Tribolium castaneum: one gene and its partner. Each later gene encodes a partner of the first gene's protein in a complex. Links are inferred from orthologs where the notes say so. Each region holds a gene or a part of one and is shown on either strand. Other genes may lie near its edges.

The links.
Region 2: the proteins of Vasa (region 1) and gus are in contact, whole or in part, in a crystal structure (PDB 2IHS), measured with the Drosophila melanogaster proteins. The link is inferred for Tribolium castaneum from reciprocal best matches to the Drosophila melanogaster genes vas and gus. Residues at the interface, in NP_001260458.1 of Drosophila melanogaster: Asp184, Ile185, Asn186, Asn187, Asn188, Asn189, Asn190, Val192, Glu193, Asp194, Val195, Glu196; in NP_001246140.1 of Drosophila melanogaster: Ser64, Leu65, Asn66, Arg79, His80, Pro81, Val82, Ala83, Ser85, Asp87, Gly112, Thr113, His127, Tyr131, Val218, Trp219, Gly220, His221.

The regions. Positions count from the first base shown.
Region 1 is NC_087396.1:9,643,253-9,647,580, forward strand, and holds the start of Vasa (vasa RNA helicase), read left to right. Parts: upstream 1-1,487; 5' UTR 1,488-1,568; intron 1,569-1,724; 5' UTR 1,725-1,741; coding exon 1,742-1,789; intron 1,790-1,842; coding exon 1,843-1,972; intron 1,973-2,026; coding exon 2,027-2,433; intron 2,434-4,328. UniProt on the Drosophila melanogaster protein: Involved in translational control mechanisms operating in early stages of oogenesis.
Region 2 is NC_087399.1:5,778,249-5,782,826, reverse strand, and holds the start of gus (protein gustavus), read right to left. Parts: upstream 3,065-4,578; 5' UTR 3,034-3,064; coding exon 2,816-3,033; intron 1-2,815. UniProt on the Drosophila melanogaster protein: Involved in the localization of vas to the posterior pole of the oocyte. Required maternally in the germ line for efficient primordial germ cell formation.

The DNA of each region.
Region 1 (4,328 bases):
TTAGCAAAATTTCGTATTTGAATTTGTCATGATCAGACGAGTTAAAAACTCTTAAACCATTTTTACAAAAAGTGCGTACTTTCTTCAGAAAGCGGTTAATTTTTTTTATTAAACAAAATGGAGATGGTGGCGCATGGGCGTTTTGAAAATTTTACAAAATTGTGGCTAATTTATTCATTTGTGTGGGAGGTTCGAATCCTGGTCCTGACGAAATCAATTTTTGTTTTTGTTTTTAGTAAAATTTAACAACAAAACGCAAATTGAAATAGAAAAATAACGTTGATTTACTTCTACTGTTTTGTCAATAATATTAAAATTTACGTTAATTTTTATAATTCTAGTTCAGCGGTTCTCAAAATTTAGGACTTTAATTTCAGAATGACTTTTTTGGAATACTATACATTTTTGATTTACATAAATTTTGCCTAATCGATTTATCTTGCCATTCTCCATTTATTATTAAATTTTTTGTAAACCACTTCAACATCAAGAACGTCTTGTAAAATACGATGACAGATGTAGATTCCTTGTAAAAAATACCTCAAGAATGTCCTAGTTAAAAACGTCTAATACATTTGGTTTTCGCTTAAAAAATAAGAACAAAAATTTTAAAATTTTATAATTCAAAATGACATAAAATATAATTGTATTTTAGGTAATTGTTCAGCATGAAAATGCAACTGACCTCGTATCTCTTATAATAATTCAGATCCCCTTGGTGGAGCTCAAAAAAGGGACATCTTGTACAAATAGCTTTATTTTTTTGTTCTGCTGATTATTCAAAAAAATATATTTATAAAAAACAATTGCCGTTTATAAAATAAGTCAAGGACAAAAGGATAAAGCTTTTTATGTTTAATTGCCAAGATTTTTTCTATTTTACTTTTTTAAATTGCATTTTTTAAAACAATAAACAAAAAAATCGATGTTGTCATTTAAAAAATTATGAATGACGTCACAACTGAAAAACGAATGACGTCATAAATGTCACTATGAAGTTAAAATGTAACTTTTACATAATTAATTTGGCCTGTCCGATGATTTTCTTGAAGGAGGCTATATAACGTCCTTGCCAATAATAAAGATATGAATTTTGTGTGTAACTTTTGATTCAGTATGTATTATACTGATCACGTCTAGTTTTTTTCCTGTGCAAAAATGTATTAAGTACCGACCAGTTATAATTTTATATTGATCAAAATTTAATTGAATATTGATCGCTTTATCACTACCCTTACAAAAATACGTTTGGCTATGAATTTTCTGTGGGCAAATAAATTAATTGAACAGTTGAAAATAAACAGTTGAACGCATGATAGAAAGAATAAAATTAATAATAAATGAGTTTTTGGTAAAATTAGACTCCTACTTCAAAGGAAAGAAAAAAATAACAATGCAGTCCGGATAAATTTAAATGTTTAGTAACTTTTGTTTTCTTATATTGTCATATTTTACCGGCAAAATTCCAAGGCCACCAGACGTCTAGCGAGTCCATGCTTGTTGAAAAACTTGCAGTTGCAAGAGTGTCAAGATACTTAAATTTCTTTCGACCTTTATTTCGATCACAGGTAACAATTTACTCAATTAGTTTCGTTGATTTAAAGCACATTACTTTTATTTTTTGGTAAATAAAAGCAAACTACATCAAACTATTCGTTTATTTTTTGTGCTTATTCAGGTTTTTTTTGTGCTTTGTTCCTGAAGTGCATTTTTCATTGTTGCAGTTCAGTTTGTTCGAAAAATGTGCGACGACGATGATTGGGATACGCCGACGAGTTCAGCCCCTGCGGTAATGATATTTATCAAAATTGATCGAAAAATTTTTAATTGCTTTTGTAATAGTTTTCTGAGCAGAGGGGTGGCGTGATCTCCGAAGGGGGTTGCAAGTTCTCTTCAGGTCGTGGCTTTGTTCCAGCTGAGCGAAACGACGGCCCCTCGTTCGATTCATGGGGGGACAGCAGTAACGATAACGGTAGGTACTTGTTTAATTTTTTTTCCAAAAAGACATAACCTCATTTTCGCGTAGGCTACACAAACGGGCGAAAGCGAGATGATGGTGGTAACGAGTGGGGTGATTCCGGGGGTGGCGGTGGATTTTCTTGGGAAAACAACGACGATTCGGGCGGGGGCAGAGGCCGAGGGGGCCGCGGCGGCCGCGGGAGAGGGGGTGGCCGTGGCGGGTTTGACCGTGGAGGCCGCGGCGGAGGTCGAGGGGGCTTCCGCAATGATTTCGAAAATGGGGATAGGGGCGAACGTGGAGGTCGGGGCGGAGGCCGAGGAGGGGGGCGCGATGGCGATCGTGGAGATGGCGGGGGTGAAGAGAAGAAGAGGGAATTTTATATTCCACCTGAAGTCGAAAATGTTGAGGACTTGTTTACCAGTGGAATAACAACAGGAGTCAATTTTATGAAGTTGGACGAAATTGAAGTCAAGGTATTTCCTTGAAGGTTTTGTTTTTATACAGGTGTTTCACGCATTTTTACGAGGCATACATATTCTGATTCAAACTCGTTTACGAATTTTGAAAAAAAGGGTAGTTTTCTCTAGTTTGTTCATCACACTCATTCCGTTTCTTGATAGAACATAATTTGTTGCTGAAAAGAGCAATTTATGACCACTAATGAAACAGTAATTTGACAACTACACTATCGGACAAAAGTAAGGAAACATTTTGAAAAATATACAATCAATGGTATTTTGAATTTTAAGAGTGTGAATTTTAATTTATTTTACATTAAATGTTAAGGATAGTCTAATCGGTGTGAGAATAGATAGCCTATGCTATGGGTAATTATTATGAGATACTACAAGCTTAAAATATAAAAAAGCCCGATTTTAAACATTATTAAAAAATATTTTAAAATCAAATTTTATTTGATTCTACATGCATATGTCGTAGGCTAATAGTAAAATTAGGCGTATTATGAAAAGCCTAGTCTTATTGTAAACGACTGGGCAAATTGTACAGAATGAATAAATGTCGGTTTTTATAATGCGACTGAAAATTTTAGGCATATTATAAAACGCCTAACCAGTTTTCGTCTTATTGTAAAATACCAATGGTTCTTTAACAGTACGACTAAAACGAACCTAAATTATTTAGGCGTATTATAATGCACAAGTTAGTACTATTGAAATTTATGCTTTGAACATTAAATTTATATTATAAATTATCGTTTTAAAATGCTGGAAGACACAGAAAGCAATACCTTCATTAATAAAGGGTTGTATTATGAAGAAATACAAAAAAAATCCTGTGATAACTAATTAGTATAGAAAAAAAATAACCTTAAAATCAAAACACTACAAGATGAATTGATATTTGTGAAGCTGGTATTTCAGAGGGTGGTAGCCTGATAGCAGTGATAGTAGAACTCAAAATAAGTGAAAAAAACAACTTGTCTTGTCAGAATGTTTACTGTTCTTGAGATATAAATGGATTTTTGTCGACAAATAAATTTAAATTTGTGGTGCAATTTTACTATTGTTTTATTTATTAAACTACCTAACTACAATAGAAGGTGGAATTTTATAAAATGTTTGATAATTTCTTCCGTTCTTTTACAAAACGACTAAATGTCATCAGTCATTTTCTAAGTAGGCACCATGATTTATTCCCTGCATTTATTCATTCATTTTTAATTTGCCCAGGTGTTTATAATATAACTAGGCTTTTTATAATACGCCTGATTTTACTAGCCTACGACATACGTAACACTACACTACACTAAAGTTTACGTAAAAAGTCAATAATTTATGACATAGCCGTTATTAAGTATAATTTTTTGGCACCGTCTGGGCATTGAAGAAATTAGTTTATGAATAACATACTCAGCCAGATTTGACCACACTTCCTTGATTTTATCTATTAAAGATTGTTTGTTGGGAAATCTTTGTATTCGGATTCGACGCCCTACCTCTTCTCATAAGTTCTCAATTGGATTTAGGTCTGGTGACTGGACAAGCCATTACAAAACTTGAATATTATTTTGAAATCACTGACAAATGCGGAAGTGTGTTTGTGGTTGTTATCTTGTTGAAAGATAAAACGAAGGGGCATTTCCCATTCTTGAAGTATATCCCTATAGACGAAACGATCCATATTACCCTCAATAAAGCTCAACGGACCCACACCATTTCACGAAAAACACCCCTACAGAAAAATGCTACTACCATGTTTAAGGCGGCCCCCGAGAACTGTCAAAATGATGTGTTCATACTTTTATACATATTTCAAAAATAGACTACGGAGCAGTACCAAACAAAAAGCAAAATGAATAGAAATCAATTTCCCACAAAAGTGCACATTTTTTATTTAGTACTGAATC
Region 2 (4,578 bases), on another chromosome or scaffold:
CCGCCTCAAGAGTTATAATAAGCCGCCGCTGTTGCCAAATTTATTCAAAACGAGCGTCAGCTGTGAATATTTCGTCGATTTTCACGGTATTTACAAGCGACTCGATGTCTGTAAAAAAGCGCTTTTTTGATACCATCAATAACCCCCTGCCACCGAAAAACGTAGTGTCAAAGAACGGCAAGATAACCATCTGCCACGGCAAAATAAAAAAACGCGTAATATTCCGCGATACTTTATCTATAGAGTCTCGTGCGTGCGTGACCTCACCAACTGGCCTCAACATCAGTTTGATAATCGCATGCCGCAGATGTCATCAGCATCTAGTACGTGTAAACAAAAGACGGAGCGAGAGTGTCCTTGTCAGCTGTCATTCGCTCGGATTGCAGGGCGATCAGGGCTGTCCAAGTTGTGCGCTTACAACTGCCCACCTCAGCTCTACTGTACTCTACTTATACCTAAATATTTTTATATGTATGTTTTTGTTTGTTTTTATTTTTGCTTTCTCTAAATTTCTCAAATTTTGTGTCATTGTCCCCTTGTTTCGCATTGTGCATCCGATGGGATACGAAAACGCAGCGTCGTTCTTTGTGTCTGCATGTCTGGGGGGGGCACGAGAGAATGGAAAAAACACGCGCTCGGCGGCGAAAAATAAAAAAAAATAAATAATAAAAAGACGAGATACCGTCGGGACTGAAAACATACCTCGTTCGCCTTGTGGCCGAGAGAAGTCTCTCTTATTTCCTTTTGGAATAGCTCCGTCTAAGTCCTGAAACCGTCGCGGTTTCAGGCGTTTCCGGCGAACGACACAGAGAACGACCACGAACAATCGCTTTTAATTCCGAATATTGTTCATTGTTTCGAGGACGGCACTGGAAAACAATCGAGGAGAGATGGACACGTCCTCCCCGAGGGGACGTGCGTATGGGAAAATTGATTGCGATTAAAACATGGGGAAAAGAGCGAATACGGTGAAACTAAAACTCCGACTCGATTGTTTCCAGTGATTGAGTTGGAAATTGCGGAAAAATTCTGAATGAGGATGCAGTTTTTCAACGGGGTGGGTGTGGGCACCAAGCCGGAAAATAATTGTTTTCATGAAAGAAGGAAACGAGATTTGATCGTAGAGTTAAAACAGAAATGATTAAAAATTTGTACTTACGACAACGAAGGGAAACAAATCGCCCGGTATAAATTGTTCAAAAAATAACACGAGTTCATTTACATGCATTTTTCTATTGACTTTATCGAGGAAATTATCATATCACATTACGGTACAGTTACACCGATTAGATAAGATCACTGCCCTCTAGACTTGTAATTTTATCAATAACAGGCGTTCCGTAATTGAATAAGTCATCAACTTTACGTTATAAGTGAAATGTTCATTAAACACATCGTTTTCAATTCGAAATCACTTTTCTCCTTTACCAAAAACACGGTCCACGCGTCATTACTGTTTTTTTCACAAACTGCACAAATTTTAGTTCGGTTCAATGTCCCTCGAAATTTCCGACGTTGCTTGACCTTTCTGGCTATCCGAAAAATTTCCAGTCACCTGTCGAGTCGCAAATACCCAAGTCAAAATTAGCATTCTTAAACCCAATTTGTCGAAAATTCTTGCCCAAACGGACCCAAAACCTTCCCAGAAGAAGAGCTCATCAACTTAACTTTCGGCCATAAAACACCCATAAACTTTTACAGCTGATCCCTCCATTATCCAAGGGTCGACTTATTTAAACAAATTACCTCCAGCCGTCTGATCCCTAGACCCGAAATAAACCCAAGAACCGTCCCCGAAGTCCTAGATAAAATTTCAGGATGAGTCATCGACCCACATGCCATACCCACAGAATCTGATTCATTTGGTCCAAAAGTAAACACGAACACGCAAATTTCTTGGCAAAAAGAACGCAAACGTCTTCTGCGCGGTTTAAACCGAGTCCGTTAACTTCCATGAACCCCAGAAATTACAACCAGACCGCATCATGCAATCGGTTTTATTTTTTCAAGTTTGTGCTGACCGCAAACGTAACTCATTATTCTGAGAAGTTTGATAATGATAATCGCCACACGGTGACGTTCGTTGGCTTTCCCAAAAAACTTTAAACGGAGAACGAATAAAAGCCAAATAAAAAGCACATTTAGACCCATCTCACGTTCGTAAATAGAGCCGTTGGGACCGATTCCCATTAAATTCCTTCTGTTCCCATTCATCGTATGTTTACCATAAAATATGTGAAAGTCGCGACCCTGGGAAGCCGAAAGCTACCTACAAAAGAACGCTGATCTCTTTTGTGTTTTTCTCTTGTCTACGGAGGAACGGTCCCATCTCCGGCACAAAACGTACCCAGGAACCGTACCATTGTGGGGCGCAAAGAATGGTGGGTGTCTCGATATATTCACAAAAATGGAAAATACAAAGAAAATAAATAAATAAAAAGACTCCTCCAAATGTATCATTATTTTTTCAAAAGAAAATTTTATCAACTTGTCCGAGTTTTGCCAGTTGTTTGTCGCATTTTGCGCGAAGCCTTGAGCACACCATAAGATTTAAATAATAATATATCTGTGTAGAAATCTGTTTACAGATCTTTTGTTTAAAAGAAAAGTGCTTTATTGCATTATTAAAAGCAGGTCACTATCTCTCAGCCTTGGCACTTTTTTGACACATCCACACCCCGAACCCGTGATTTTTCGTCCACTTGCCGGAAACCACCCTTTCGAAAAAACACCACCGACGAAATCGATCTCGCCGTCGCCGAAATCAGGGCGTCGCGACGCCCTCCTCGTCTACTCGACATATTTTATGAATTACCTTGTTTCCATATTAAAGGGGTGTGATGATGGTTGAAAAATAGCGACACTATTCCAAAATCCGACATACGGAGTCACAGATTGCGCTTGTCCTATTGTCAAAAAACACTGATGTTGGTTCCACACTAAACGTCCGAGTATCTTATTGTGAGCGGATTGTACACTAAACACACGGTTATTAGGCAGCCAACAGAGTCCGAGCAGGGGAGAAGTTATCATGTCCGCTGCTCGCCAACACTGAAGTCTAACCTTGGCAAGAAACGGTCCGAAGCCGCACCGGGAGCCCCATTGGTTCGAAGAGGGAGGCGCGGACCCTCTGAGCCAATAGAACGCCGGATTTCGGAGCGCCAAGGTTCGAATTCGGAGCGCCGGGCGCACCCCATATCCGACAAACTTATATTTCTGCAGAATTGACGAAACTCAAAAATATGCTTTCAATAAAACAACCAAAAGTTCGAGCATTTGTACGTTTAGGTGCCGCAAAAGGTCACACTTGAATGGAACCATTTTTTCCAAATTTGGAAGCCGGATGAGAAAAAACGAAAAATGTGTGAAATTCGAGAGGTGGTTTTGGGCATGGCGATAGAGAATGGCCAAGTTCAAGGTCTACACCTTGGTTGAGGTTTTTAGTTTTTGTGTGAGTAGGTGCAGGAATTAAAAACCGACTTTGTTTATTTGGCAACGTTTCGGACGTTTTATTGCCGACTTTTTACGTCGAAAATATGAAAAGTTGTTCAATGTAAACAGAAACTATTTACTTGTTGTGTTTGTTTTTGAATCGGTGTTAATTTTTTCTTTCCGCGTCACCAAACATTTTTATTTTTCTATAAATACATGATTTTTACGACAGGTGTGTGAGATTCTTCCTGTTCCCTGTAAAACCGCAGGGTTTCTTCGTTTCCTGAATTCCCACAGTCTCGTTATGCTTTTTAATTTTCTTCGTCTATACCTTTCCATTTGCCTTCCGGACAACTGGATCAAAAAACTGCGAATTATCCTTTCTCCACTGTAATCTCTTGAATTTTCCTTTCCCTACGTATCCGTTTTTATTTGCTAGTTTTGTTGATGTTTACAACCCATCTATTTACCTTTTTTCTTGTCAATTGACGTCGAAGCCGAGATAATGGTTATGAATGACATCAGAGATTAAAGTTTTTGTTTACCAGCAATCAAACAGAATGAATTGACAATAGCACAAGTCGAGGCCATTAAACTATCAAAAAATTCAATTTTACTGGTCGTTTTCTTCGAACATCCTGTACTTCGCTAATCTTAATCTAATTACGAGTAAAACTACCTCGCCACAGCCACGCGAATAATTTCCTCGGCAAAACCTGCGTCCGGATGTCAGCAGGACGACTCGTTATGATAATTTTAAACCTTACGGAATTATCTGTTACGTCCGACTGGAAGCAAAATTAACGTATAAACTCCCAAGTTGATTCGATAAAATTTTCACGAAACGATTACAGTTTTGGTTAGTGAAAACGAAAATTGTGGCAGTAAAATCCGTCTGGAGTTGTAAACCCCTTTCGTCTACGGCCAATAAACTAAGAATAAAAGAAGAAAAATATAATCTTCGCGCAGCAAAGTCCTAATAATAAAAACATAAAAAACAGATTTTCGGCGGAATGAATAAAATATTACGGCCGAGTGAAAAAAGCTCCCCCAGTTTAAGAACCGCTAGATTTTTTATTTGCCTCGTAAAACATCGGAATTCGGACAAATTTGACCGAAACCACGAGACTTTTCGCCGAAAATAAC